4 linked regions of the Caenorhabditis elegans genome follow. The protein of the gene in region 1 purifies or fractionates together with the protein of each later gene. This does not show direct contact. Each region holds a gene or a part of one and is shown on either strand. Other genes may lie near its edges.

What was found.
Region 2: the proteins of exc-15 (region 1) and dbd-2 fractionate together in Caenorhabditis elegans (co-fractionation; one large-scale study listed by BioGRID). This does not show direct contact.
Region 3: the proteins of exc-15 (region 1) and gst-27 fractionate together in Caenorhabditis elegans (co-fractionation; one large-scale study listed by BioGRID). This does not show direct contact.
Region 4: the proteins of exc-15 (region 1) and adk-1 fractionate together in Caenorhabditis elegans (co-fractionation; one large-scale study listed by BioGRID). This does not show direct contact.

Annotation. Positions count from the first base shown.
Region 1 is NC_003283.11:4,478,923-4,488,492, reverse strand, and holds exc-15 (NADP-dependent oxidoreductase domain-containing protein), read right to left. Parts: upstream 5,035-9,570; 5' UTR 4,989-5,034; coding exon 4,853-4,988; intron 4,378-4,852; coding exon 4,040-4,377; intron 3,278-4,039; coding exon 2,829-3,277; intron 2,155-2,828; coding exon 2,076-2,154; 3' UTR 1,950-2,075; downstream 1-1,949.
Region 2 is NC_003280.10:4,558,803-4,565,637, forward strand, and holds dbd-2 (DB domain-containing protein), read left to right. Parts: upstream 1-4,147; 5' UTR 4,148-4,148; coding exon 4,149-4,301; intron 4,302-4,390; coding exon 4,391-4,648; 3' UTR 4,649-4,658; downstream 4,659-6,835. Other genes in the region: M03A1.3 (Cytochrome b561 domain-containing protein), read left to right, coding at 1-145, 667-771; M03A1.8 (ascorbate ferrireductase (transmembrane)), read left to right, coding at 1,605-1,796, 1,954-2,094, 2,138-2,565, 2,621-2,700, 2,745-2,908, 3,524-3,667.
Region 3 is NC_003280.10:15,162,580-15,169,687, reverse strand, and holds gst-27 (glutathione transferase), read left to right. Parts: upstream 1-3,979; 5' UTR 3,980-4,018; coding exon 4,019-4,157; intron 4,158-4,257; coding exon 4,258-4,748; 3' UTR 4,749-4,798; downstream 4,799-7,108. Other genes in the region: gst-29 (glutathione transferase), read left to right, coding at 605-1,095; gst-28 (glutathione transferase), read left to right, coding at 2,296-2,434, 2,927-3,417; gst-26 (glutathione transferase), read left to right, coding at 5,145-5,283, 5,333-5,823; ptr-20 (SSD domain-containing protein), read right to left, coding at 6,216-6,524.
Region 4 is NC_003282.8:11,207,352-11,215,416, forward strand, and holds adk-1 (Adenosine kinase), read right to left. Parts: upstream 3,481-8,065; 5' UTR 3,454-3,480; coding exon 3,379-3,453; intron 3,306-3,378; coding exon 2,989-3,305; intron 2,928-2,988; coding exon 2,822-2,927; intron 2,762-2,821; coding exon 2,435-2,761; intron 2,383-2,434; coding exon 2,179-2,382; 3' UTR 1,958-2,178; downstream 1-1,957. Other genes in the region: R07H5.9 (Kinesin motor domain-containing protein), read left to right, coding at 177-215, 265-300, 353-435, 483-568, 614-662, 707-764, 1,141-1,202, 1,248-1,428 and 2 more; zip-6 (BZIP domain-containing protein), read right to left, coding at 6,300-6,372, 6,919-7,163, 7,210-7,499, 7,693-7,848.

The sequences.
Region 1 (9,570 bases):
ATAAAGGCAGGTGGTATTGTTGCCAGGAAATTGACAAAAATACAGATTTCTAAACTAGAATTCAATTTTGAAAAATAAATTTAAAAAAAAAACCATGTTTTTAAAACTGGGGGACTTTGAAATAATTATGTACTGCGAAACTGTATTTATACGAAAGTACATTGGCGAATTCAAACAGAGCTGCACCTTTCAAGTTAACTAGACGAAAACTTGACTACAAATTCAGAGCAATCAAATTTACAAACAAATAATCAAAGAAAAAGTATACAAAAGAGTACGGAAAAACATGGCGAGACCACGAAATAGCAGTATAGTGCGAATACCAAAAAAAAGTATACTCTAATCCAAGAAATGACACCACTTACAGGCGGTGTGACCACGTCATCACTCTTTGTCTCCCTGACCTCTTTCCAATTTTAGCTCCCGGGAACCGCCTGGGGTCAAATGGTGTAGGGGAATTTATCGATCGGAAATCCAGCGTTTTTATGGCTGGGGTCTATTTGGGCAGTAAATCCGAAGGAGTATTCGTATAGTGTATTAATTCTTTAAAAAAAGGATTGAACATAAATTTTAGAATGTTTAGAAAATTTACTTGATTTTATCTGAAAAATTGCACACTCTATCAATCATTGTTTACCCAGTATACAGAGGGTATCGGCTCAAAAAATCAATGTACTAAATAATTTTGAGATCAAGATAAATTTGCCAAATAGTTAATATTTTCTAGAAGATCACTAAATTAAAAACGTTTATGTTAAAAAAAAACTAGAATATACTAAACATAGACTAATAGTTCTTGTCGACGAGGCGTGCAGAACTTTTAAAAAATTTGAAAATGGATCTGAAACTAATTTTTAAGGTACCGTTGAGAAGTTAGTGCCTGTTTTTTTCAATTTTTTTTATTTTTCAAAAATTATATAAGTATGTTAAGTATTTACCATATCTTGTTCAGCTGCAAAAATCATTATATCTTTTGGAAAAGATAAAAATGTTTCATAATAGATTTTCGGAAAAAAAAATTATTTTGGAGCAGGTATTTTGAGAAAAAATATTTTTCAAGTTTGACTAAACTAAAAATATTCACCCGAGCTGAAAAACGTAAAATAATGATTTTTGTTTAAAAAAAACCGAGTAGTGAAATTTCAGAAACGCCTGCTTTGCATAGATACATTTTAGTTGTTCCAAATAGTTTTTTAAAGTATAAATATGCAGTGAGTGGGAATTTCGTCTCAATAAACTTATACACACGTTTTACATGATCAAATATAATATCTGAAAAACTACAAAAAAATCAGATTTTTCAAAATTTTCTGTCAAGTTTTTGGTAAATCTCAAAATTTCCAAAATCATAAATTTTTGAAAAATTCCAAGAATTGCTGTAGGCTTGAAAATTATTATAGAAAAAAACTGAAACTGTAAATAAAAAAATTTTGAAATTTTTCTTGAATATGCTAATTTAAATTGTTTTTTTTTTAAATATTCTACTTCATCATTTTTCATCTCAAAAAAAAATTGAAATTTCCTATAGCATTCATAATTTGCCTAAATTATTTATAGGAACTCATTCCAAATCCCACCACCTGTACCCCCACAAACTGTTTTGGCAGATTAAGTGTGGAATAACGTAAGGAAACAAATGAGGTGCCGAAATGTAGTCGCCTATGATCTGATATGCACACCAAAAAAAAGAAGTGCCTTCACTTCATCCTCAATTATGCAATCAAAAATCTGTCGTTTGTTTGGTCTCAAGGTCGATGGTCCTCTTCGTCGGAAACCTTTTGAAGTGAGACGAGACCTGTTGTCCAATTATTTGTCGATCATCAACTGTTTTTTTTTATTGTTTCGCCAACACTTCCGAGACTGGTTTATCCCCTGATATTCGACCATAAAATACATGCGGGAAATATATATATATATATATATATATATATATATATATATATATATATATATATATATATATATGATGTACTTCATTATTTCGAATCAAAATTACAAATATTCATAATAAGAAATGTGCGATAAAGAGTTCTACAATCCATTTTGTTTTCTAATTCACAAGTTGAGCCAAAAGTCTAGTGAAGTCTGATCCCAACTTTTGGAACTTTGGAGGTGTCAATGTCGTCGTGTGGGAAGAATGGATGCTTGACAGCGCTGAAAAATTATACAATGATAATTTGCATAGCTTTGTGTACTACACGAGGAAAAGTGTGATTTAATTTGTTTATAGGATTGTATAATTTTGAGCTGGAATTCTTGAGTTTGGACCATCGAATTTTTGCCAATTTTGGAAATTTCGGCAGTTGGCAAAATTGTCAATTGCCGAAAATTTCCAAAACTGGCAATTGCCAAAATTGCCAGTTGCCGGAAATCAGAATTGCCGGAAATATAATTTTAGCCTAAACATGCATTTTAAGGAACAATTTTCCTTTTTCAAGCTCAAAATGATTGAATCCTTGATGGATTTAACGCTTTCTTTCAGAAAATGACTAACTGAATACTAAAAACCAATTTGCAATTTTTTCAATTTCCGAAATATAGTTAGGTTTGAAAATCGCCGAAAATGTCCGGCAATCGACAATTTCTGCAATTTCGGCAATCGCCGGAATCGCCGATTGCCGGAATTTTTCAAAACCGGCAATTGATGAAATTGCCAATTGCAGCGCACTCTTGGTTTGGACTACTGAAGATTTACCGGCCCACTGACGGGAAAATATCCTGAAGTGAGCGAGTGGAGGGGAAATAATTTCGACAAAAATATAAAAGTTTCAAACTTGAAATGGTTTTTTTTAATTTTAAAACATTCGTTCCATAGATAAAAAACCTACAAATCAGCGATGAAAAGTCTAGTTCTGGTCTCGATACTGTTCAAAGTGTGCATATCCTCATCGCTCAGCTTAAAATCAAACGTCGAGATATTCTCAACAATTCTGTCCGGACTGACACTCTTCGGAATCGTCGAAATACCGTGTTGAGTCAGGTGGCGAATGAGAATCTGTGCAGCAGTTTTGTGATACTTGGCAGCCAGTTGTTTGACGATTGGCTCGAGAAGTGGGTCACCTTCCGGCCAGACACCGTCCGGACGAGCAGCTTTTCTGCCTGGTGAGCCAAGTGGTGCGTATGCTGTAACAGTGACTCCGAGTTTTTTGCACAGAGCACGGAGCTCTTGTTGTGGCCAATAGATGTGACACTCGACTTGTTGGTTGGCTGGCTTCACTTCGGCGGCGTCATAGAGCGCTTGAAGCTGGTTGCAACTGAAGTTGGATACTCCAAGGGCCTGAAAATTATATTTTTGGAGAAAGAACACTACGTGTAACTTGAACATGGATAGTTAACAAAATATTGGCAACTAATTTTTCTACATTCTGCTGAAATTTTATAAGTATATGTATTCCAAAAAACGTTACAGCAGCTGACACCCGGTGGGTCTAATTTTGACTACATTTTTTGAATAAACCACTGGAAATTTTCAAGAAAAAATTTAATAAGAACATTTTTAATACAAACTTTTCATCACATGGACGGCAAACGATTTTTCGGGCAAACTGCCTGTTTAAAAATTTCCGCCAAATCGGCAAACTGACAAATTGCTTACCGAATTTGCCGGAAAAAAGGCCAATAATTTTCGAAAAATTGTGGTTTTGCACTTTTTTTTTTGGAAATTTCAGAATTTCAATTTTAATCGGCAAAATTGTACGCATCCTATGAATGTTTCTACATCTGTTTTGAAAAATAAGCAAATCCTTTGAAAATGTTTAATGAAAACGGGAAAAAATTTCAAAAAGACACAGTGTTAAGTGCTTCCGTCTTATAAAAAATTCCCTCTAAACACTTCCGGCAAATTTATATAATGGCGAACGGCGAATCAGCGAATTGCCGAAAATGAAAACTTCCGGCAAACCGTCAAACCGGCAATTTGCCGTTTTGCCGAACTTGTCGACAAAAAAATTTGCCGAATGGCATTGCCGCCCACCCCTGATTCAATTACTTTATGGAAATCGAAATTGCTGATGTTCCTTCAAGACCAAATCTCACAAACCTTAAGCTTTCCCTCCTTGTACAACTTCTCCAACGCTCTCCATGTATCAATATGAGCGATTTCTGTAACAGCAAGCTCTCCATTCTCCATCAATGGAGCAAAGCTTCCCTCCTGATGTTTGAATGGGAATGGGCAATGGATCAAATACAGGTCAATATACTCAAGTTGAAGCGCCTTCAATTGGCTTTCCACACATTTTGGAACATCTTCCGGGGCGTGAGCGGTAAATGGAAGTTTAGAGGTGACGAAGATGTCCTCGCGTTTCAGTTTTCCAGATGAGATGTACTCATGGAGCACTTTTCCAATAATGTGCTCGTTTTGGTAGAGGTGAGCAGTGTCTGAATATTGAAAAAATGGGATTTTCAGTTGTCAAAACGTTGTCAAAACTGCCCTCCAAGGATCAACTTTGCCAATGGTTTTATTCGAAAACTCGAAAAACTGGACACCGTAAAAAATCTCAACATTTGTGTCAAAAAGTAGAAAAATACCTAGAATTTGAATGGGAAAATCTGAAGTTAAAGGTGTGAGTAAAGTTTGTCGGTTTTTTGAAAATGGGTCGTAGTTACCGAATGTAAAAAATGTTGGAAAAAAATTTCAAAATTTTTAATGTTTTTTTTCAATTGTGCAAAAAATTTAATTAACTGGTTTGAGCAAGCCACCACTTTTTTTTTGAGTTTTCCGTTTTTGGCCAAAAATAACATTTTTTAAATCGGTTTTTATTTTCCAATTATTTTTTTGTGACATCTCAAATGGAAGAAGAAAAGAAAACATGACTAAAAAAAAATTATGGTTTCCATCTAGGACAGCACTCACCAATAAGTCTGTATCCAGCATCAAGAGCTGCACGAAGAGCCACAGTCAGCTCAGCTTCATCCTTCACCTGCCACGTTCCCAATCCGAAAAGTGGAAGCTGAGCTCCGGTATTCAATGGAATAGAGTCTACGGTCATTCTGCAAATACTCAAAATGAATATGACCGAAAAGCAGAAAACTGATAAATGTAAAAGGAGAAGCTACGTTTAAACCAATAGATGACAAAATGATAAACAAAATAAATGATAAGAGGTATTTTGTGACCATCGGCAAGAAATAGAGACGAGAGATGAACAAACGGTTTTCGCTCAGTCACAAAAAATGAATGCCGGAAAAATAGAAAAAAGATGAAAAGACCGTAACGGAAAATGTTCAATGATGCGGAGGCCAATTTTCACTTTTTTTTCATGCAAATTCCAAAAACATGACAATTGTTTTTGTTTGTGGCAATGTGAGAACTGAGACTATTGACAGAAATTTGAAATACATGCAGATAGATGTTCATGTGATGAAACAGTAGTAGGAAGTGGACGACGTTGAAATGAAGGACGCCTAGATAAGAGGGGAAAAGTGTTGTCAGATGACCGAAAAGTGGGTGAGTTCGAAAATCATTATTTGATCGTTTGAAGTAATGAAAAAACAACAAAAGACACAAATTAAAAATTTTTAAAAGGTGAAGTAGCGTAATATCGTGCCAAAATTAGGAAATATCATAGTAAAAATTTTCAAAAATTGTTTTAAAAAGTTATATTTACAGTCAAAAAAAAAAAAATAGAAATGCCGGAAAGGCCTTCTGAAAATAAAAAGTTTATTGTTGAAAAATCTAAAAGAAACTTTAAATAGGGCCTTAAAATTGTTGTTTTGTGCAAAAATTACTTTGAATTTTTCACAGCAAACTGAAATTTTCAACGACCGTTTGAGGTATTTTTTAAACTTTCAAATAAAAATGAATAAAAATTTCAGATTGAACAAACAATTTTCTACATTTTTTTTAAATATTTGATTTGAAAAAGTTATACTTTCGTACTGAAATGAACAGTTCTGTACGTTTGCCAATTCTTTGAAAAACCGATTTTTTATAGAGTGCAATTTTTATGTGACAGCCTGGTTGTTGAAATCTTAACTATTATCAATTTGCTATACCGTTCAAAAATTATTTTGAAGTGGACGCTGGCTTCTGCAGAAAAGTTGATTTCTCATTGAATATGTAAAATGATATTGAAACCTGAAACGTGCAAAAATTTTGAGATTAAAAAAAACAATCCCATCCAGAACATAAACTGTAAAAATCTGACAAAAAAAATTCCAAAAACCGGTTGCCGAAAATAAAATGGAAAAAATAGAGAAAAATAACATATGTACAGTATAAATTATTAAATTTCCATTGATTAACGGCCAAGCAACTAAAAGTGTCTAACTAGCCTCTACTGAAAATTAAAAATAAAAATTTGAGGTAAGTACACGATTTCTTAAAATTCCTAAACTTGGGTTCAGCATTTTCCAGTTTTTGAAACAAAACTTGATAGCGTGGTTCTTCGATTTCACAGATTACGAATCTACAATATTAAAGAACATTTCGGGATTAATTTTCAATCTATCACGCATATTTGATCTACGAGAGGCTGATCTACCGGGTTCGATAGCTATCTTCCGAAAGCAGATCACTCGAGAAGGGCATAATTCAGTGTGTATTTGAGATGTCAGGTTCCTCGTGCTGCATCTTTTTTGATGTTTTTTGTAATGTTTTTAATGTTCTATGCAATTATGAAAAATTTGGATTTTTAGAAAATTCTAAAACTTTTTTTTAAAAACGATTATATAATACACCGTATTTCTACTTTTAGTATTACGTCAATTGTTCAACTTTGACAGCTTATATCTCCGTTGTCCGTTGTTCTATACAAAACTTGTCAACTGATAAAATATTTGTTATTTCTTTATCTATCGTTTTGTAAAACAATTATTTTTTTGCCATATTTAATGTTAACCGAGATATAACTTTTAAAAATGTGCAATACTATGAGAAGAAATACGGTTTTTTTGGGTTCAAAATTTTCTACATACAAGCTAAACCTGTTCCGAATTTAGTAAAAACATGAAACGAGATGATCTCCAAGGCCTCCGAGGGCTTGCAATCGGAGCAGTTCTGGCCTTTCACTTCTTTCCGAAAACATTTCCAAACGGCTATATTGGAGTCGACATGTAAAATTGCAAATTTATCAATTCAATAGATTCATATTAACTTTTTTTAGGTTTTTTGTGCTTTCCGGTTTTCTTATGGCGATGATTATTAGCTCAAAACCTATCACTTGGAATTCAGTCTATCAATTTTATTTTCGTCGTTCAAAACGGATTTTACCTCTGTATTTGCTAACTGTTCTTATTGGTCAGTTGAAGTGTTCAAATTCTTTGGTATTGACACAAATGTAATACAGGATGTGTGCTGGTATTCTTCATATTCCCCACAACTTTTCTTTCGATGAACATGGACTCCGCGTTCAGCTCAATTTTCTTGTACCATAATATGGCACTCGGACGATAACATGTATTTCAAAATGGTGTGACACTTTTCATCGATAATTCTTTCTTCAAAATTTTCAAAAAAAAAAAAACCAAAAATTTCAGCTTAATCAAGCAGACGACATTTCACTTATACCTGGTCATTGTGCGTCGAGATGCAGTTTTACCTACTTGTCCCGGCAATTTTTTTGGTTTTTTCCATGTGCAGAAATGAAACTTCTCTTGTTTTGTGTCATATGGCGCTAATTATTGTATCGCTTGGGAAATGTTTACTATCTTCTGAGCAAATTGCGTTTAACAGGTAAAGTTTTAGTGGGGTAATTAATTCCAGGTTGTAATCAGAAAGAAATACTATTTTTTAGTTTTATTTTTGGCAAAAACACTTACTCAGATGAGAAGAAAGAAGACCCAAAGGATGATAAGGGAGACACGAAGAGCCCGGTTCCAGATGGTGGTGCAGCTGATGCAAAACCGGTCGACCAATCGCAGAAGCCATTCCCCAAATTCGAGATGCCAACGGAGAGTAAGAAAAAGAAGAAGATGGCTGAAAATGAAGTTGATAAGAAGGAGAAAATGAAGAACGGATTCTATCAGGAAAAGTCAGATGAAGATGACACGCTTGAGAAAGTGGCTAGTCTGAAGGTCGAGCAATCCGATAAGACCAAGAGATCGAAGAAAAATAAGAAATAGGTTGTATGAAGGGCACTGAATGATGGGTGATTTATGAATAAATTGATTTTTTTGTTTCGTTTTGTTTTGTTTTACCACAGAATCACGGCTTCCGGTAATTCAGGGGATATTATATTACTGTAACAGGTACCGGAAGGCCTAACAGATATATTAACAGTGATGTGCGGCCAACCAAGTTGCCGGAATTTTTAGGTTCGGCAACTTCGGCAATTGCCGATATCAATGTCAAACACTTTGTAGCTCAGAAAGAAGCATTCAGAGAGCCTGAAAAATGCTAAAATTCACTGTAAACGAGAAAAACGACCAGAATTTTTTCCAAAACGCTCAAAAATATAATTTCAACAAAAAAACTTTGAAATCTGGTTGCCGGTTGCCGAAAAGTTGCCGACGTTTCGGCAACCAAAAGTTGCCGACGTTTCGGCAACCGAAAAGTTGCCGGTTGCCGAAACTTTATGGGTTCGGCAACTTCGGCTATTGCCGGTTGGCGTAAATCTCGTTTTCCGCACAGCCCTGGTATGTAAGTGTGCCTACTTTTGAGACATAACATATCTGGTTTGTTTTTAGCTTCTTACCAAAATCTAAAATTTTCTGGAACTTCTATTTTCAGTATTTTTTCAACTGCAATCAATTCACGGGTTCGTTTACCACCAAATGTTTTACAGTTATTTTTCGCATATTGGGGCCAGGGATGTGCGGCAAATTCGCCGTTTGGCAAGTTCGGCGAATTTGCCCAAATTGCCGAGCACGGCCAATTTCAAGAAATTAGATTTGCCAAAATTGGCGCACACATCAAAAATTTGACAATTTTGGCCAAAACTAATGATTTTGTCACCAAAAATTTAGTAAAATGGCACAAAATTGAGTAATTTTTATGCTTAAGCAGACACACTACACGGAACTTTTTTAGACACCAGATTTTTGTTCAGAATTCAGTAGTTTTGGTGCTCTAAAAAAACATCAAAAAGTATCACATTTTTTGGAGTTTGTTAAGCACGGCAAATTTGCCAAATTTGCCGAATTTACCGTGCTCGGCGAATGTTGGAAAAATAGATATGCCGCACACCCCCCTGACTGGGACTACATTACTTCACCATTAAAAATAATTACTTTCATTGTCTAGACAATAATAACTGTGCTACCTATCAGAATAGTGCCAAACATTTCTTTTTTACATTGACGTATTAATTTCCTGCCGCTCACATTGAGCAAGAAACATTTTACATTCATTTTGTACATCAACATGCCGTATATTCAAGATTTCTCACGAAATATTGCAGAATTAGGATTTCTTGCCACATTGGCTGGAAACTCGACTCTTATATTCCTAACCAGATCGAAAACGAAACATATCCGAGGCCCATATAAGAGAATGATCATTATTTTTGCATTCCTTGGAATCGCGTTTTCCGTGGTTGAAATGACGGCACGACCATTTGTGCACAGCTACAATGGAGCATTTGTCTACTTCAGTTTGGCGGAGGAAATCTCTGGATTGCAGGGAATTGTCAC
Region 2 (6,835 bases), on another chromosome or scaffold:
TGCAGCAGTGCAATTCAAGAGAATCTGGAATGAGCCACTCATGGAGCTGGTGCTTGTCTGTTTGCCAATTGCCATCTGTTTGGCGCTCACAATTGCTTTCACATTTTTGGAGAGTGATCGATTCCGAACAAAGGCTTCTTTTGGGGTGAGTAGTGGGATTTTAAGGAATGGTTAAGAAGGATGCAATGTTGGAATTAGTGGAAAAATGTTAACATGATAGTCCTAGAAATAGCTGAAGAGCACCTCTTAAGCATAGTTTTCTCAATTTTTATCAGCGAATTTAGGATCTTCGAATGAAGCAATTGAGAAACCGAAGAGAAAGAGAAGATGTTGACGAATCGGTATATTTATTTATTCTGTTTAGCACTAACATAATTCACATGGCATTTTTTTCAATTTCTAACTGTTAAAAAACACTAACTTTTTGGTTTATATGTTCAAAAAACTTGGGTTTCCGGTGATTTTTTCCCCAAAAAAAATTGAAAACAAAACAAACTGTAGGCGGAGGACTCGATGGTAACCCCACTCGTAACGGATACCGACTTTGACGAAAACTCGAAGCCAGTCAGAGAGCTCACGGTACTGTAGTGCTTATTCCTTTGTTGAATACGTCCTGAAACTCCTTAAGCAATTTGTGTCAATTATTAAAAACAAGAACATTTTCAGCCTCACATCTTGAAAGGACCTGCAGTGTTTTGGGCGATTGGAGTATTCTTCTGCATTGCTGTTGCGTTGTCACTTCTTGTCGTCAATGGATATAAAAATGTATAATTATTAATGGAATTTTGGAATCTCATCTAATTTATTGATTTTATTGAATACGGGTAGTTTCTGATAATTACTTTGCATTGTAAAAAAACAAACTTTGTATGAATAAACATATTGAACATCTAAGTGCTTGCGTTTTTTTAAACTCAACTTTGGTTGCGCATATCTTGGCTCTCTTTAGTTTTTATTAAAAAATGTCAACTACAGAAATATTTGTCAATTCTTTTTCTATAGTTTTGTAGTTAATTGTTTATTGGTATCTTTAAAATCAACTGAGATACCTTTAAATGTGGAGCAATTGGGTGCGGTACTAATAGAAAACATGCGGTAAGTTTTTTTTTTGGTAATTAGTATGAATATCTTCAGTCAAATTTTTTTTTAACATTCTAAATTTTCATAAATTATTTCAAAAAATTAACAAAATATATATGAAAACTGAAGTCTCTAGAAAAACTTAAAAATAACCAGACATTGCAAACTCGTGGTCAAAGTTTATTTATGTTAAAAAGTTATTATTAATTTTCATCGCTGTGGTAACCATTGGTTACCAAGAACATGACATCATTTTATTAATGTTTAAAAAACACGTCGATCCGCCTATTTTGATTTTTACCAAAAACTGATTTTCGTAATACCTCCAATAAGTCCCCCCAAAAAATGTACAAGATCAGTGAGATAAGATCAGTGTCACAAACTCTGCGTCTCTTCCTAATCCACCACATTCCAGTTGCTCTCTTCTCCCTTTTGCGTCCGCTGGTCACTTGAAATACCAGTTCGATGATGACATTTCAAATGCCTATTTATACAAAAAGGAGAAAACACAAAGGTAGTGCAAAATGTATCACTACTCTACTCTTTTTCTACTTGCCAGTGGTTTTGTATTTTCTACTGCAAAATGCCCGGCGAATTCATTTTGTTTTTCACCAAGTCGTGTGAATATCACAGTTACTTGCAATAAAAACGATGGATTCATGAGTTTGAAATGGAAAACAGAGGAAAAAAGGTCAGCAGTGAAGATATACAATGGGGTGAGATAATTTATCAACTTTGATTCCTCATTATTTTGGTTTATTTTGGAGATATCGATAAATGTTCAACTACAAACCTACAGAAAATATTTAACGAATCAGTTCAAGACAACTGAGATATGAGATGCCTCTTCTATTGATTTCGTTTTTTTTGCAGGTGAACCTTCTTGAATTTGTTTGCGGATTTCCCATTGGAAGCTCAAATATTGATGTCAAAACCTACAAACTAGAAACTTTGAAATCTGAAAATTTAACGTCGTGTGAGATTGATTTTTATCCGGGGGATGTTCTATTGATGGTAGGTGCCAGAAATATATCCTGTAATAGTTTTAATTTTTCAGAGTGAATCTTCAAGCTTAAAATGGTCCAACGAAAAGTCCGAATTCTTCAATTTCCATGAAATTTGCAATCCGAAAATTGAAGGTCTGAGTAAAGAATTCAAACGATTACTTGTAAAATTACATGCAATTCTAATGATTCTCGGATGGCTTTTCTTTGTTCCAACGGGATTTTTATTTGCAAGATATGGACGGCAAGTGTTCAAAAATCATACAATTTACGGAATGTTCGTATGGTTTCAAATTCATCGAGCCTCAACTTTTATTGGTGTTTGTTGTATTGTAACCTCGATTTTGTGCATTTTAATTTCAACAAATTGGACCTGGAAAGGTACTGGATCTGAAGCATGGTACTGGACACAATGGCACACGGATTTTGGAACGATTTCTACTATTCTGGCATTCTCCCAGCCGTTGAATAGTTTGTTGAGGTAGATTTATTTTTGTAAAAAAATAGCAAAATTTTATACTTTTTATTTATTCCAGATGCCCACCTTCCAACTCACAACGTTCAATTTTTAATTGGGCTCATCGAATTGTTGGCCTTCTCTCCTACACTTTTGCTGGTAAGTTTCCATGACTAGAATTCAAACTTTTTATACAAATTAAGTGGCCGCAATCTACGTGGCTGCCGCCAATTATCGAAAGACATGGTCAGAGCCAACAATGGAAATTGTGCTGACCAGTGTGCCGACCATTTTGTGTATCGCCACAGGATTCGTAGTTTTGTATTTGGAAAGCGAGCAGAGAAATGGGTATAGGGAAGTTGAAATGGTAAGATTTTTCAATTTGCATTTAAAGTTCTAAAGTTGGAATATCCTATGCAATAAGAACATTTCTACGAAGATCATACCATATCATGTTGCGAATCACATGAACCAGCAGTCCGTATGTAGTTTACTCCTACGGGCAATATAGGCCAAATCACTGGAGATTAAATGATTAATTTATTTTTATTTCAATTATTGGCAACAAAAATTGATAATTTAGTATTAAAGAAGTGTGGAAAAGGGGGAAAAGTTTCTAAAAAAGTTAGTGATCCAAAACATAATATCTCATTTGTAAAACTAATAGTTTCGGTAAACAGTGAGAAAAATGAGTTTAAAAATGTTTTAAACTTGAATTCCCGCGCACAAGAAGTTTGAATATTTTTTGAGAATTTTTTTCTTAATTTTCAGAATTTTGTTGAATGTTCAAAGCACCTGAATTGCAATTTTTTGCATCAAATTTGAGAAAAAAAACTAGAATTTTTAAGGTAAAAAGAACATGTTTTATTAAAATTTTCAAGCAAAAAATTCTACAAAAATTAAGACTAACTTTAACGTCACAAATTTTTCAATTCAACATTTGTAACACAAAAAAATGTTCCACAAAAGACACAACTTACAGATCGAAAAATCCGAAAAAAATTCCAAAAAACCGGAGCGTCTTCAACTTATCCAAATCTCATGGATGTTCGCCGTTGTTGGAATCTGCTTCGGTGTCGCCATTTCATTATCTCTTCTGATTGCAAATGGATTCAAAAATGACTAATCACCTCTTTTTCAATGACAACTAATTCTCGTACCAACCACTTTTCTCTTTCTGACCTGACCTGCAATAATCCATTAAACGGCTGTGTGTGTCCTCTTTCTCACTTTATCACCAACTATCTCTTCTAGAAAATAAATATATATTTTCTATATGTTTCTTCTTATAACAGAGTCTATACATTATTACATGCAATTCATCTTTCGCAACATTGACCGGCCTCAAAAAATCCGATAAAAGTACAATGGTGACTGGTGTTCTAGGAAATAGGATTGTTATGATAGGGAGTGATATCTTATCTCTTTTATTATCACAGCCTGACCTCAATATGTCAGAGGTGGAGTCTTCCGGGTGACCCTTTAAATAGTCCGGGCCTTGACACCGATAGGCTGTGTATTCTTCATTTCTTCGATCTTCCACCTGTTGCAGTTTTCTTTTATTTTTCAAAGTTAACATATCTATATTCATAGTAATTAATTCTAGAATGAACCGCTTCGCAATTCTCCTGGCTCTCCCACTTCTTGCTCTTGCTGCTACTCCAAATGAGAAGCTGAAGCTATGCTGTGCCACGTTGAAGGATGCCGATAAGGAGTGCGTCGATCGATTCTGTGACTTCAATGCTCTTTCTCAAGCTAACGTAAGTTGTCTCCTGAGAGCTAGTTGCGCGTCAATTCTGATGTATTTAGTCAGCTTACTAGAAATAACCATTACACGTTCTTATTTCAGATTCTGAACTTCATGTCGACTTGCGGAGAGCGTGGACCAACTGTCGGAGAAATGTGGGATTGTGCTTCCCTCCGTCACAACCACGAGGACTGCTGCAAGAAGGCCGGTGTCTCTGGAGAATGCCTCAAGTACTGTACCGCTCATAAGGGAGCTCCATCCAACTATTTGGACTATGCTTTCTGTACCGAGAACTTCAACGAGATCCGTGATTGCTTCTACAACCATTTGGACAAGAACGAGCCATTCAAGAAGCTCTAAATGGAAATATAATAATTGAAATTTTCTTTATATTATGAAACGTGTATTTAATAATATGGAATAAAGATCAACTTGATGATAAAGTTAACAGTTTTCCAAGCTATTTTGTCTTTTGATTGGCTTGTCCGGAGTTCTGGAATTGCCAGTTCAAAGGCACATGATGTTTTTCCAAGTGGGTCTCGCCACGATCTCAGACATAATTGTCGTTACAGGGCCCAGTTTTCCAGGTGAAATAGAAAATATAGTTTATGAAATTTCAAACTCAAAATTTCCGGTAGAAAGCCCGGATTTAGGACCTAGTTCCATGTTTCCGCAATGTCCTACAAAATTCCCCCATTTTCCAAAACTACAGTAATCATACAGTACTCAATCACTACTTTACCCAAGCTACAGCAACTAACAACATAACTTTCCCAAGTTTCACGTCTCGCCTTCTTTCTCGTATTGTTTTGTTTTGACAATTTGAAGGAAAAAGCTGTTGAGTCGAGTGTTTGTCGGGGCGGCTCACACTGTAGTACAATAAGGCTTCACATGCGCCTACATAGGTAATCGCGTGCACTTAAAACGGAAAGTTGCTCACGGAGAATAAGAGAGATAGAGGCTCGGCTGTTTGTGTTTGATCTACATCTATGAACCTCAAGATGGGCATAACTTCAATATGTTTAGTTTAAAAATTTAACAAAATTAGGTTCGAACTTACTTTTGGACTATCAAATCAGACCTTTGCCATTTTAAGAAAACTGTTTCAATATGTTGAAATATATTTGAAATATATTTTTAAAATATTTGAAAATTGAAATATTTTTGAAATATATTTGTTTCGCAGTTTTCCAAAATTGTCTGAAATATTTTTAAAATCCCTGCCTTTTTTGACTCTGCTTCCAGAAAAGTCTATGAGGAAATTTTGTTAGTAAAAGCTCGTAAATATGTATTTCAACCTACCTCTGACTCAGAACTACTCGGAAGTATGACCCGAATGAGTCAGGAGCTTAAACTTTCACTTTCTTAAGAATCCCTCGAACGATAACCAATTATTTTTCTTCGTCGAAAATTTTAAATATTCTCAAGAAATTAAAACGTGGAGGCCTTCATCAGAAGAAGAAGCACGCAACGCCTTCATTCGAATTTTATTACCAGTTCTCTGTTTCTCCCATATGTTACAAGTTGTGCAGATGTGTGTGCGCACGTTTGGCCCCTAGTAAAATGGTCGTAAAACTACGAAGGAGCAGACGGAAGCTCTCCTGCTGCTGTTGAAGATGATGACGTGGCACTTTAATTTACAATATTGTGTGCTCAGGAGGCTTCATGTTTGACAAGTACAACATCAGCACACTCAAGTTTACCCCATTTCTTTTCAAATGTTTTTGTTGTTTTGATTGGAAATGTCAAAATGGTGATTGGATTTTGGTTTCCAAAAAATATTTGGAATGCGATTTGCTCCATCAAATTATTCAAACCAAAGTGTTTTTAATTATTTTTTTGGTCAAAAATCTATTTTGGACAGCTTTTGGCACTTAAATCGTGTAAACTTCTAACACTAAAAAAAGTTTCTGGAGGTGAAATTGAACGGAAAATGGGAATTGAACCCCAGCCCTCTCCCATGCTAAGGGAGCGCTCTACCACTGAGCTATACCCCCGACGAGTGATTCGGGTGATCAGGGCAAAAAATTTTTCGGTGGCTTATCACTGATACAACCAGATTATGTACCTGGTTGCAGAAGAAAAATATGTACAAGGTCTAAAAAAGTTGAGAAGCATACTACAGTATTCTTTAAAGGCGCACACTTTTCTGCACCCTATTAAAATTTTTCATTCGTCTCAAGACCATGTACCGTAGTTTTGCGTAAAAATTACATGATTTTGCGGCCATCGCAGTTTCTTCTTATCAGTGATAAGCTATCAAAAAAATTTTTGCCCTGGCCACCCGAATCACTCGTCGGGGGTATAGCTCAGTGGTAGAGCGCTCCCTTAGCATGGGAGAGGGCTGGGGTTCAATTCCCCATACCTCCAAGAATTTTTTAGCGTTTGGTCACAAAACTTTCTTATTTTGTCTAGCGTTCACTAGAAAAAAAGAAAGTGCCGAAAAAACTTCTATCATCAAAATTGTAAACCGTTTTCTTAAACTTTCACCCACCATTAAACCGTAAATCTTTGTTATTTTTTTCCTCTAAAACAATCAACCAGTCA
Region 3 (7,108 bases), on another chromosome or scaffold:
GTGAACTTCAAAATTGGTAAATTATATTGAAACCTTGTTTGATTTCCAACGTTCAAATTACAAAACTTCCTATTGTTGTATGATAATCGGTTTTTTTAAGTTAAAATTATTATATAAATGTAGGAAAAGATTTGCTCAATTTGAAAATCCTATTTATTTTAGTCGAAAATTTGAAAAAAATTCTAATCGTGCTGAAAGTTGACGTTTGCCATTAAAAGTGTTATGTAGCAGTTATTCTTAACTTTTGTTCATCAGACACAGACTTTATCCCTATTTTTTGGACACATTATTAAATGATAAGGTTATGTAACAAAGCCTCAACCCGTTCCCACTTTTTCTGTATTATTCCACAATATTCAATATAATTTATAATTTATAATTTTTCCTCTTTTTTTTTCTCTTATTTTCACGTTTAAATAAACGTATTCAATAATAATAATAATGTATACTGTTCAGATCAAACGAAATTCTTCCTAAATTTTTGTTCAAAAATTTCTTATTGAAAATTTACAGTCTATTTGAAGTATTTGTCAAAAAACGGGCCCAAGAAATTTTCAATCACAAATATTTATCTGAAATTTTCCAACTATTTTATTTTTTCCAGAAACTCCATTTGGCCAAGTTCCAGTTCTATATGTGGATGGATTTGAAATTCCACAATCTGCTGCAATTATTCGCTACCTTGCCAATAAATTTGGATACGCTGGAAAAACTCCAGAGGAGCAGGCTTGGGCAGATGCTATTGTGGACCAATTCAAAGATTTCATGAGCCTATTTAGAGAGTTTAAACTTGCACAAAAGGCTGGAAAATCGGATGTGGAAATTGCCAAAGTTGCCTCAGAAGTTGCAATTCCTGCTAGAGATTCGTATTTTGAAATCATCACAAACCTCCTTGAAAAGAGCAAGTCAGGATTTCTCGTTGGAGATGGGCTCACATTTGCTGATATTGTCGTGGTGGAAAGTCTTACCAACCTGGAGAAAGTTCATTTTTTCGATGCATCGGAGCACCCGAAATTGGCAGCTCTCAGGGAGAAGATCTACGCAATTCCGGCAATCAAAAGCTGGGTGGATATTCGACCAGATACTATTTATTAATTTAGTTTCTGGATTTCTTTTGTGAATAAATTGAAATAAATTCAGAAATATTCATGCAACTATTTTTATACTTACAATTAGAACAATTTTATTTTGGCGGGGACCGCGGACAAATAACGGGCGAGACCACAAATCAGGGGTGGGCGGAAAACGATTTTTTCTGGCAAATAGGCAAATAGCCGGAATTGAAAACTTCCAGCAAATCAGCAAACTGGCAAATTGCCGGACTTGAAATTTTCGGCAAATCGGCAAATCTGCAAATTGCCGGAATTAAAAACCTCCGGCAAATCGGAAACCGGAAAATTGCGGAATTAAATTTTCCGAGAAACCGGCAAATCTACAAATTGCCGGAATTGAAAACTTCTGGCAAATCGGCAAACCAGAAAATTGCCGGAATTGAAATTTTCGGCAAATCGGCAAATCTGCAAATTGTCGGAATTAAAAACCTCCGGCAAATCGGAAACCGGAAAATTGCGGAATTAAATTTTCCGAAAACCCGGCAAATCTACAAATTGCCGGAATTGAAAACTTCTGGCAAATCGGCAAACCAGAAAATTGCCGGAATTGAAATTTTCGGCAAATCGGCAAATCTGCAAATTGTCGGAATTAAAAACCTCCGGCAAATCGGAAACCGGAAAATTGCGGAAATAAATTTTCCGAGAAACCGGCAAATCTACAAATTGCCGGAATTGAAAACTTCTGGCAAATCGGCAAACCAGAAAATTGCCGGAATTGAAATTTTCGGCAAATCGGCAAATCTGCAAATTGTCGGAATTAAAAACCTCCGGCAAATCGGAAACCGGAAAATTGCGGAATTAAATTTTCCGAAAACCCGGCAAATCTACAAATTGCCGGAATTGAAAACTTCTGGCAAATCGGCAAACCGTCAAATTGGGCTCAGGCTCAGGCTCAGGCTTTTGAAGTCCTAGTTTCAACAAAACCAAAAACCACAACCAAAAACCAAAGTGGCAGGAAACGGCAAAAGATCAATCGTTTCAAATTGTTCAAACACAACCAAGCATCAACTGCCAGCACACGTGAAGGCAGAGACATAGACGGTAAACATATAGTATAAAAAGGGTTGGCAAAGTTGTACAGAAAAATAATTGATGCGATTATTTTGTTGTCCAATTATTTTCGGCGTTCCAGTTTTCCTTTTTTGCGTATAAATACTACTTCATTACAGAAAAGTTGTCAAAAATGCCTACCTACAAGCTCACCTATTTCAATGCTCGTGGATACGCTGAGGCCGCACGTATCCTCTTCCACTTGGCAGATGTTCCATTCGAGGACTTCCGTATGACACACGGAGATGGAACATGGGAGAAGCTTAAAGACGGTTAGTGGAGATTTGGGGCCTACCGATTGCCTGCCTATCTTATTATAGCGCGATATTTTGATAAGAAGTTATGGATGGCATTCAAATTTTAAAAAAAGTTCTGACAATAATGGGAAAGCCAAATTTTCTGAGCACACGGTCTTGGATGGGTTAAATTTTTTTCAAAAAATTGTAGGCATCATTTTTCGTAAAAAAGGCATTCCAAATTAAAACAAAAAATTATTTAAAAAATTTCGCCGGAAAAATCAATTTTTTTTATAAAATAGTTTTAGGGCTATGTATATGTAATTGTTTCGAAACTTTTTTAGCGGGAAATTCACAATAAAAAAAACATTATTTTTCACGATGAAGTTTTGGATGGGATTCGAATTTTAATCTAAAAATTTTTTTCTAGAAACTTTTACAACTTCTGGAGCTTTTTGGAAAATTTCTGAAAATTTTGAAATTTTTAGAATGCTCCAAATACTTACTCACATATATATATTTTTTCAGGCGCCCCATTTGGTCAAGTACCTTACCTGACCGTTGATGGATTTGATATCCCACAATCTGCTGCAATAATCCGCTACCTTGCCAACAAATTCGGATATGCTGGAAAAACCCCAGAAGAGCAGGTTTGGGCAGATGCCATCGTTGATCAGTTCAAGGATTTCATGGGATCATTCCGCGAACGTATCATGGCACATTTCGCTGGAAAATCTCAGGAAGAAATTGCAAAGATCACTTCTGAAGTAGTGATTCCAGCTAGAGATTCGTACTTTAAGATTCTCAATGGGCTTCTTGAAAAGAGCAAGTCAGGATTCCTAGTCGGCGACAGTATCACCTTCGCGGACATTGTCATCTCTGAGAATATTACTACTTTGGAGAAAAATCAATTGTTTGTTGCTTCGGAGCAACCAAACTTGGCTGCTCTTCGAGAGAAGGTCTATGCAATTCCAGCTATCAGGAAGTGGGTAGAGGCTCGTCCAGATACTCAGTACTAAATCGAAAATTTTCTTGAAATTTTGTTCAATGAAGTAATATAATTACAAATTCGAATAAATTTTTAAAATGCACCACTATTTGCATTCTTATTTGCAATTTTCCTCTCAATCGCAGCTGCCTTCTTCCTCTAAAACCCGCACTCAACATCATTCTCAACAACACCGTTTCTGCCAAGTGCACGCGTGGCCTGCTGGATAACGAGTTGGTCTCTCGTTCCGACTGCCACAGGTTCGTGCCCTCTCACCGCCTCTCTACCAAACACTTGCAAGTTCTGTTTATTGCAAGTGCATGGAAGAGGCGAATAGAAAACGGAATGATGTCCACTCCTTCGATTATCGTTCATTGGATTGCGGGCACTTTACCTCGTTCGACATTTTTTATTTTAACTTAAAGTAGAATTTTGGATTTTATTGACTCTCCGTCCGAATTTTTATTGACTCTTCTCCCACCTCCCCCCCCCCCCCCCCATCCATTTCTTGGTTTTTGGTTTATTGATCTCCACGACAGTTTGATAACACTTTGCGGAGGAATTTTTCCCAATCATTTTGCTTGCAGAATCACACAAGAAAACTGTCTGGTTGTGGTTTTCATTTAACTAAAATGCCATCCTACAAGCTGACCTATTTTAACGTGCGTGGATATGGAGAACCAGCTCGTATTCTGTTCCATCTTGCCGATGTTCCATTTGAAGATTTCCGAATGACCATTGGAGATGGAACATGGGAAAATCTCAAAGCCAGTAAGTAATAGCGACCTTGAAACGCCATATTAAAATTTAAAAAAAACTGAAATAAAGTAGCCAAGACAGAAATTGAACATTATTTTTTGTTTCTATTTAGAAACTCCATTTGGACAAGCCCCAGTCTTATCAGTTGATGGATTTGAAATTCCACAATCCGCTGCAATCAACCGCTACCTTGCCAAGCAATTCGGATATGCTGGAAAAACCCCGGAGGAGCAAGCCTGGACTGATGCTATCGTCGATCAATACAAGGATTTTATGGTATCAATCAAAGAAGTGGGAAAAGCAAGCGCTGCTGGAAAGTCTGCCGAGGAGGTCGGGAAGATCATCCAGTCAGATCTCGTTCCGGCAAGAGATGCATTCTTTGTGATAATCAACAAGATCCTTGAGAAGAGCAAGTCCGGATTTTTAGTTGGAGATGGTCTAACCATCGCAGATATTGTGATTGTGGAATGCATCACAACTTTGGACAAACATCAGCTCTTCACTGCATCGGAGCAACCAAAATTGGTCGCGCTTCGAGAGAAGGTATATGCGATTCCAGCAATAAAGAAATGGGTTGAGATTCGTCCAGATACCCTGAACTAGGTTTGTTTTAAATGTGCTGATATATTAATTCAATAAATCGTTATGTTATGTTCATGTAATCTCATTTTATTTTCAAATACGTTAATTCTGAACGTGTTAATTCTATTTTTAACTTTATTTTTCTATCTAGATTGAAGCTAAACTCAGTTCTGTTCAATTTTACAGTTAAAAAAATTTTATGGTCCAGGATACATTTTTTAAAATTGTACAATTGACCTTAAATTGTTATTTTTCTCTGAAATACTTTGTAAAAATTAATCATGGTTTGACTTTTTCTGTCAAATATTTGATAAGACTATGCGGAAAGACTGCATTTTTCCAATGCTATTTCGAAAAATTGTTTGATATCGGAATCACACTATCACACATACCTATATTTAAAACAGACAGATCACTATGCCTTCCTACAAACTCACCTATTTCAACGCTCGTGGCTACGGAGAAGCTGCTCGTATTCTCTTCCATCTTGCCGATGTTCCATTTGAGGATTTCCGTATGACCCATGGAGATGGAACATGGGAAAAGCTGAAAGAAAGTAGGTCATTTATATGTGGCAAACACTAAACTCAAAGTAAGTATTTCAGAAACTCCACTCGGACAAGTCCCGGTCCTATCCGTCGATGGATTTGAAATTCCACAATCTGCTGCAATCATCCGCTATCTTGCCAATAAATTTGGATATGCTGGAAAAACCCCGGAAGAGCAAGCTTGGGCAGATGCCATCGTTGACCAATTCAAGGATTTCATGGGATCCTTCAGAGAAGTCGGAAAAGCACATGCCGCTGGAAAGCCAGCTGAGGAGATTGCAAAGATCATGCAATCAGATGTCGTTCCGGCTAGAGATGCATTCTTCGTAATCATCAATGGGATCCTGGAGAAGAGCAAGTCAGGATTCTTGGTTGGAGATGGGCTCACTTTTGCCGATATTGTAGTTGTGGAGTGCATCACAACTTTGGACAAAAATCAGTTATTCACTCCAGCGGGAGAGCCAAAGTTGGTTGCTCTTCGGGAGAAGGTCTATGCGATTCCAGCTATCAAGAAGTGGGTCGAGATTCGCCCAGATACTCAGTACTAAAGTTTGTTGTAAATTGTTTGATAATTGAATACAATAAATAGTTTTAATATCTCCTTGTAAAAATTCAAATTATTGTGGGAATATAAATTCACTAGTGTAATTTAATTTTCTAAAAATTTCATAGTTCTGTTCGCTACAGTAACAGTGCTGCTTGAGTACCGAAGATAATTCTCAAGTGCTTCGAACCACTCTTTTCATTTATTTCATACTCATATGTAACCTAAAACATAGAGCTGTGTACTGTTTTACTATTGAGTACGAAAATTTTATTTCAAACATGTTATCAAACAATCAATGGAGATGTGAACAACCCGTATTAGATGATAATACAATCAATGGAAAAGAAAATACCCTGGGTTTTCAAAAAAACATACAAACTACAACAAAACGCTCTATGAAGCCAATTCCATCGAATGCGGAGTAGGAGCAACTGCACGTTTCCGTCGGAATAAGAGCTTAATGTCATGCGTTAAAATGAATATTACTGGCAACAGAATGAGAGCATGAAGCATTCCAAGTATACCGACCAGGATCACAGTCTTCCAGAATACTGCTACAACATACGCACGTACAAACATCAATGGGAACATGCCAAGAATCGTGGAGAGCCCGGACTGCATTACTGGCCAGGCGACTCCGCGGAAGGTGCTTAGAAGACGGTCACGAGTCTCGGCGTAGTTATGTGATCTCCAGAGTTGCTCCTAGAAAAATATGAAGTTGGTTTGAAAATGGGGTACGGTTGTTTGGTATGGTGGATGTAGTGTGAAGTATGTAAACATCGTGTGGGGCTGTCCCATTACGGTTTGATCTACAAAAAAAATGCGGGGATATTTCGCCAAGAGAAATGTGTTGAAAATCAGTTGAAATCTCTGCGTCTCAACTCCCGCATTTTTTGTAGATCTACGTATTTCAAACCGAAATGGGACTCTCTGACACCACGTGATGGTACAATAGTTTAAAAATAAGATCATAGATTAGGGTACTGTAGGGTTAATGCATGTTTCAATTTTATAGTATAGTATTTGACTAGAATGCCAGTACAGTAAGGGGTACTGTAGCTCGGGCGTCTTAATAAGTGGCTTAGCTTGATGGGATTACTGTAGAGCTAATTTAAGTCAGCCACACACAACTTTTAGTGTTGTGATTCTTTATGAAACGGAGATTCCTCGTAGAAACGGAATCCCAGGTTACTGTATTTTAGACTACTGTAGATTAAGTTTTTTGAAACTATTTTTTTACAGAACTACAGTGCTCCCACAGTACCACAGAAGAACTCCTACACTAC
Region 4 (8,065 bases), on another chromosome or scaffold:
ACTTAAGATAGCTTGTTTATTTATTCTACCGTAACCTTTTTGGAATGACCACTAAAGTACACGTTCACTTTTTTTCCCAAAAAAAATTCATATTTCTTTACTCTTGAAATTTCAAATAATTCATTATTAATATTTCTCAAATAATTACTGAACAATTGGATCGAGAAAAGAAAATTATGATGAACGCCGCCGTAAAGTGTAATCCAAAAGTTCAGGTGAGTTTTGAAATTGGATTGATAAATTAAAATAATTCTGAAATTCCAGCAAGATCAGGTCAATCAAAATGCCAACAATCTTATGGTATTAGAAGATGTACTTATTATTCAGAATAATCATTATTTATTGATTTTAGCTTCTGCCAAAATGTCTTGAAATGATTGGAGATAAGGCTAAAAGTTCTGAGCTTCACGTTGCATTTGATGTTCCAACTAATCAGTGAGTACGATGGTACCCGAACACTAGAACATTTACAAATTTTTCAGAACAACTTTTCAATATTCAATAGTTTGGGAAGATTCAAGTCCAGATGCCGATGAAAAGTATCGAGTTTCATGCACTGAGGCTAACAGTAGGGTTTCTAAAAAATTATAGTGCTACATTTTTTTTATTTCAGAAATTATGTTGGCACTCAAGGAGAAAAATATCAAGAAGACTAGCAAACTGTAAGCTTCAATAATATAATTATCTATAAATTGAACCATTTCAGTATGGGATACAAAATAACCAATGAGAAAAGTCGTACAAACTCGTTGAGAGAGAAAGCGGTAGGTTATCAGAAAAATCATGATATGAGAGACGATGAGCAGAAAGTTAGGATCTCTAGAGTTAGAGTTTATATAGAAATTTTCAATAAATTGAGTACTCGAGTTTCATAGTGCAAAAAGTGGTTTTCCAATATTTCATATTCAAACTGAAAAGTTTTGAATTTTCTTTAAAAAAAATTACCAACAGCTCGTCAAATATCTTATATCTAAGTTCGCCAAAAAAGTCTACCATACACTTGTGGGTACGGTAGCTGAAAAGAGTTTTTCGGGTCAAGACCCGAGGTCGGTGAACATAATTATAAAAACTATACAAGATTCGGGGATAATATTCCTGAAATCCTGCCTGGATTCGTTTCAATTCCGTTTTTTTTTTCAGAGTGAAACATTGAACAACGGACTCCCATTTCCTCCAGATCTTCGCAGCCGTTCTCAACAGTGGTAAAATATCGACATGGTGAAAAATAATTTGATTTCAAGTTTCAGTGAAGTGTCTGAATCAAGAAGCTCTTCAGTTACTGCTTCTTCTTCCGCTCCAACATCTACAACTTGCTATGATTCTGAACCGACGAAATCGGACACATCGAAAAAATCATCGAAGAAATCTCGAAAAAGTAGCCGTTCTTCAAAGGTTCCACATAGAAAGTTCAAGAACGTAGGATCTTTGGTAAGTTGGAAATATTTCTTTACTATTTGAGATAGAACAAAGAATCATATTTAAATTTCAGGATGAAAACGGATGTGTAAATGTCAAAGTAGTTGTCATCGAGAGACCAATCATCCGAGATAAACTCAGGTTTGATTCGTTTTCAGAATGAGCAATTGATAAGTAAGTTCCAGACCGATTGCTTTCATTGACAGTGTATTGTCTGCTCATGTGAAGAGCATTCTAATCAATGTCCTTCATGAGAACTACGAAGGTCTACCAGCGGAACAACTGATCAAATCAACTAATGTTCTTTTTGCTTTCCTTGATAAGAACGGCGTACAGAAACTTCGACGTGTTCGGAAAAGTGACGTTGATCACTAACAGTTTTACAATTTACCAAAACTGTAAGTAATCATATTCCTCTAGTCCTGATAAATATGCAACAAACTTTATTTCAGCCGTGGCAGTGTCGTTCTGGTTCTGGATCTGATTGGCTTTGTCGAAAAGGGGAAGAAGATTCCAATTCAAATCGACATGGATGAAGAATAAAACTTTGCCATTTTATTAAAACACCTGATAAATGAATTATAAGGCACATTTTGGGAACATTTGACAAAAAAAACAACACCAAAAGAAAAATTTCGAATAATAGGGATGCTCGAGGACGGGGAATGGGGAGCAAAACAAAGAACAATTTGATATACTATAAACCAGGGGACTGGGAAATTGAAAGCAGAGAAAGTTGGGATCACAGATTATTTTATCAGTTTAATGGTACTTGCAAACAGATGGCACTGTGCATCCGTGCTTCTTGATGATTTCTTGAGCAGCATAAGATCCACAGGTGACTGAAGCTTCGACTCCCTTTCCTTGGATGAATTGAGAAAGGAAACCTCCGACAAAAGCGTCTCCGGCACCGTTGGTATCGACGATTTCTTCCTTTGGAAGACGAGTTACTGGGAATTCGGTGACCTGTAGATTAAAATTGAAAACAATAAATTCAAAAATTATCAAAAACTCTCACCTTATCTCCTTCCACGACGATGACTGGCTCTGGTCCTTGAGTGAAAACAACGAGTCTTGGCTTAGTAGATTTCTTTGGAAGTGCAGCAGCCTTCAAAGCGATCTCCTTGACACAGGTGGTCTCCCATCCATTGGCTTTAGCAAAGGCAGCAGCTTCGTCTTCGTTTCCGAAAAGAACATCGACCAATGGAATGATTTCCGAGAGCTTATCGAAGAAAAATTGGGAGATGAACGGGGCGGAGAGGTTAAGGGTGAAAGTCTTGTTGAATTCGGCAGAGTGGCTTGCGAGTTGGAGAATAGCTGGTGGGCAGACAGTGATGAAGAATCCCTGAAAATTTTACATTGAGAATACTTTTGTGCTTATTTGTAAATCAATTCGATAACTTACAGTGACATAGAAATATTTGGCCTGCTCGATGATCTTCTGATTCTCCTCCTTCTGGAGATGATCTTGAGTGAAGGTGTTAGCAGCAGCCAAATGAGCACAGAGTGATCTGAAATCATTTCAACACGGCAACGATGATTTTTCTGTCCGTCAAACAATGATCCGCTTACCTATGAGTTCCGTTGATGAGGGCTGCGCAGGTACCGGTCTTAACTGTCTCGTTGATCTGATAATGCACATTCACTCCAGCTTCTTTGGCTTTCGATGCCAAAAGATCTCCGTACTGATCTTTACCAACAGCTCCAAAGAAAACTGTTCGGTTTGGTGCGTTCAAAATCCATTGAGCAACACGGAGCGAATTCTGTGCGGCTCCTCCTGGAATGTACTCGACTTTGAAATCTCTGGTAAGCTCGGTGAACATGTCATTGTGCTTGTCGTCGCAAAGAATGGCGTCGTTTTCTTTGAGTCCCCATTTGTCAAGGAATGCCTGTAGATTTCAGCAATTAAAATGAAATATTTTTGAATGTGCTTCTAGATTTCTAGAGAAATCAAAAACTTACCTTTTCAACGGTGGTTTGAATGTCCAACAATGGATTGCACATTCCGATGAGGGTGTTTTCTGGCAGAGGAGACATTTCCGTGACGTGAGGAGATGGGATTACCTGCAGATAGACAATTAGAAAATGAAAAGTGAGAAAAAGGCGAGTTTTGAACGAGTAAATAGACATAAGAGAAAACAAATAAGAAGATTGGCAAAGAAAGAGTGCGAAAAAACCGTTTTCGTGCTTTTTTGAACACGAATAACGCTGTAAAGCCAAGATATTTTGTGTTTTAGGACAATACATTTCCACGAAATCCACGTTGTAATTTGAAATTCCGGCCGAAAGACATTTTTGATAAACAACGATCGCATGGGATATCGGAGTGTCGTTGCAACGTGTTTTAAGATTTTATCGATCATAAATCTTTGCTGACAGAAGCGGAAAGTTTTTAAAACACCGTTGCTATCTTAAAAAACATGAACGTTTAAAAAAACCAAGAATAAAATTTGCAAGTTTCTAAATGTGGAAGTACCTCCTTCAAACACAAATTAGTGAATGCTATTTTGAATAATATTTTGAATAATATATTAATAATGGCTGATTGTTTGATGAATACTGTGTATTTCTTTTCCAATTCTACGATTTTAAAGTGGGAAGCAGTTATGCGGAATGGTCTCGCCAAGAGCCGTCTATTGATATATTTTTCTCAATCAATGGCTGGCGCGTGGCGAGACCAATCCGCATAAATGCTCCTCCCTTTAAAATCGTAGAACTTGAAAAATTCATAGTAAAAATACGATTTTCGAAAGTGGGAGCGATGAGTTTCCAGAAAAGTGAACGATCAGGCGTGGAAATTCAAATGTAATAAGATAACTTATTAGAACTTGGACAAAAATGAGAATGAGTTACACACAAAGTACACGATTCTGATGAGAAATGCGCCTTCCAACTAGCCTATCTTCTATTTTATCGTCCATTACTCCCCAGTCTGTCTGCAGTTTCTAAAAGATCTCCGCTATTTCGTTATCGGTTTTTTGACCGGCAAATTGTGACACTGATAGTATCTACCGATATGCCATCTAGCCTCAGAACAAGAAAAGTTGGCTAACTTGCGGTGGTGGTTTGAACGAGACAATTTACAAGTTATGTTCAATTTAGAAAACAATTTTAGTTGTCAATGGCTTTTAAACCTAGCAATTACATTAAAGTCTATTGCAAACAGTTTAAAATTGAAACTAAGCCTGAATAAACAGACACAGTGCGTAATGCAATTTTCATGTGGAAGTTGCAAAAAAGATAGAAAAAAGAGAAGAAACTACAACGGCAACTGTTATGAAAAAACCGATTGATTTCCATTGTGTTCTATGAACAGAAGGTGTCTCCTGCACATAAGTTCTCAAAATGAGAAAAATTTTCGAAAATGGCCTGATTGAAAGTTGATAGTCGATCAATTAATGATCTATTGGGGTTTCTATGTGGAGTAATATAGAAGTTGTACTCATATTTATTGGCAGTAGTTAAACAATTACCTATATACTCCGAAAAGTAAAAACTACAAAGTTTTTTTCGTACCCACGTTGTGAGTTGATACTCAGCTAATAGGTGAATTTTCATATTCTCCTTCACTGCACTATTCACTATATATATAATAGATAGCCGTTATAGAGCATTATTTTCTATGAAAATTAAACATTTAAATCTTTTTACTTATTGTAAATAAATACTTTTAAAACCTACGTTTTGAAGAACTTGCATATTTCAATTAAATGAAAAAACGTGTTACAGATTTAATATTGCCACTGGAGATTTAGTCTCAATAAACTCCAAGTAGTCTAACATGGCCGCACATTAGTAAATTGCCAAAATTGGCCAAAAATGCGTATTTTTGAGTTATTTCAAGCATATTTGTAGGTCCAAACTATTTAAATTTTTTTCTTTGAAACGGAACTAAAAAATGAAACTGGTAAATGTAACATTTTTTCTACTTCCAAAATTATAATATAGAAAAACTCTTAGTTTTCATTCCTTTTGACTGTATAAAAATTATTTCAAAAATTTTGCGAAAAGTTTTACAACGATATTTGGAGCAGTTTTAAACAACTTCATACTGAAGTTACTCAATATTTAAACCATATTCTGTGCTATTTGAAACACTTGAAACGAAACGAGAAGAAAGTAATGAAGACAACCAACTATCAGTAAAAATCAGTGATCTCAGAAAATTGTTTCTTATCATTTTCCTATTGATGACACTTTTAAAAGATTTTCAACTTTTTGTTTCATTTTTGGAAATTTTTCAGGTGGGGTAGTGTCATTGGGATTCTGTACCAATATTTGTGTATATTAATTTACAGTTTTGGAAATTTGCCAAATGCGCGAAAAATTTGTGCTTTTTCAGAAATGCAGAGCATTGTGGTATGTTTGAATACTCACAATGCTCAAATACAAATTTTTGAAACATACTCTTCCATAGAAAAAACCTATATTTTGTCGATTTCCAAAATTAATATAAAGGAAAAAACCTGAGCTTCTTCTTCTACAGCGATTTACTATGATATTCAGCTATTTTTGCACTTGAAGAATGGCTTACTAGTTAGCTCATTGAAAAAATTTACTAAGAAAAACCCAAACAAGAAACTAATTGGATTACAACAATTATTGAAGACAACGCATGCTGTTCCCAGTTTCTTGAAGCATATTAAAAACTTCTCGAAGGAGGTTTCTTGTATGTTTTGCTTGAGTTTTATTATTAAAACAATTACATCTTTTACACATTATTTTAAAGAAATGAGATATGTATTGGAAATTGTGGAAAATATGGCAATTCAAAAATTAAAGTCATTGGAATAAAACACGGGAAGTAAATCACTGGGGAGAATCCGTAACTGAGATTGTGAGGGAATAAGATGAGTTACATCTGATTACGAACATCAAATATTTTAGGCGTAGTAGTGGAGGACCTCTTTGAGAGTTGGGTAGTATTCCAACATTTGTGCATTTGGAATACGAGTCCTGAAAAAATAATTGTGATTACTAACTTTAATTATATTGAACTCTAAAAACCCCAGTTCAAATGAAGAATATAGAGATTTTCCGATTAAAATGCTGCAGTGGCCTTTTCTTCTGCGAAAAAAGTATATGTGAAAACTAAAAAAGGGTTCCTAGGCATTCTTACTTTATTACATTCCCATTTATTTTAAGATAATAATGAAAAAAAGAAAGCTACGTTGTCCTGTCCTTATTGAGCGGTTTTGTATTAAGCTGAATTTAATAGGTCCTGTATAGGTCTGTAATACTGTTATACGTAACACCCTAATAGGCCGTACCTGTATATTTTTTCTGAAAAATTCTTGAAAATTCTCATAAATCTAGAAAATTAATTTTGGATGCACATCAGCTTTTACATTAAAAATAATACAACCGACATGACTCGCACAATAAGCATAACATATTTCAAATGCAATTTTTCTGACATCACACAGCTGTTAAATAATTCTCAAAAATTCTACAAAAATTCTCGATAAACTCTCACAATCTGTTTGAAAAAAAAAAACGTACAACTCGTTCTTTAACTGTCTCAATATGTTCTTCTCCCTCTGTACTTCCATGATTCTCGCATTTTCTCTCTGTTTTCCAGACTGAACCAGATTGTTCAATTGTTCAATTTTTTGATCCTTGACCAAATTACTGCGAATCAAGTTCTCAAATGCTTCCTTCTTATATTTTTCTTCGTTCTTCTTCTTCTCACGGCATCGTTTAACTGCCAAGTTGTTTTTTTCCCGTTTAGAAGAATATTTTTCATCCTGAAACCAAATAAATTGTTTAATGTAATACGCAAAGCGTTCACACCTTTTGATCTTCAGATACTTTCTCATATTTTCTTTCTTTCTTCGGTGTATCAATGCTTGGCAATGCTCCTGTATGCATCTCAGAATCTTCCTCCCCAAAGCCTTCATCGGAAATATGAGTTTGGTCGTCGTCGTGGTTCAGAACGTTTGACATGTACGGCTCCTCTTTGATGGTAACGTTTCCATAAAAATAATGATTTCTTTGATCGCAGTGGTGTGGAACATGGGATGATTGATCAGTTGGGTAGAAGTTAGGGTCATATGGATATTGATGTTGACTACTCATAGGATCTGAAAAGTAAATATTTTAATGTACGGTAGAGTCGTTATGGAAGACGTTCCTCTTTTTTTTTTATATCGGAGAATCCGTACTGGAAAACGAATTCTAACATCGAGAATCACTCCTATTCAATTTAAGGGTTTTAGATTCCGGTTAAATGTAGAAATATTGTTCGTGAAAAAAGCGTGTGATATTCAAACTTACTAGCTGCGGGATTCATGCTGAAATTACTTCCACGACCTGGTACATTCCCTTGATATCTCGGATTTTGATGCGCGACCTGGTATGCTGGTTGGGCTTGTCCAGCTTGTCCGTTCGAGTTGTATTGTGTGTGGAAATGATATCCATCCATAGTATATTCTGTAAATAAGGACGATTTCATTTGTTTTATGACTTCAAAAAGATCTCGATTAATAGAATGCGTGTGAGCGCTGAATTACATTTTATTTGAATCTAGGAAGATTGGACTATTAGAAAAGACCTGACCTGTAAGTCAAGCACAGCATCCGCTAATTAAAGTTTCAACAATATTATCTATATAAATGCTGTTTTATTTACGTTTTTCTCTCAGTTATTA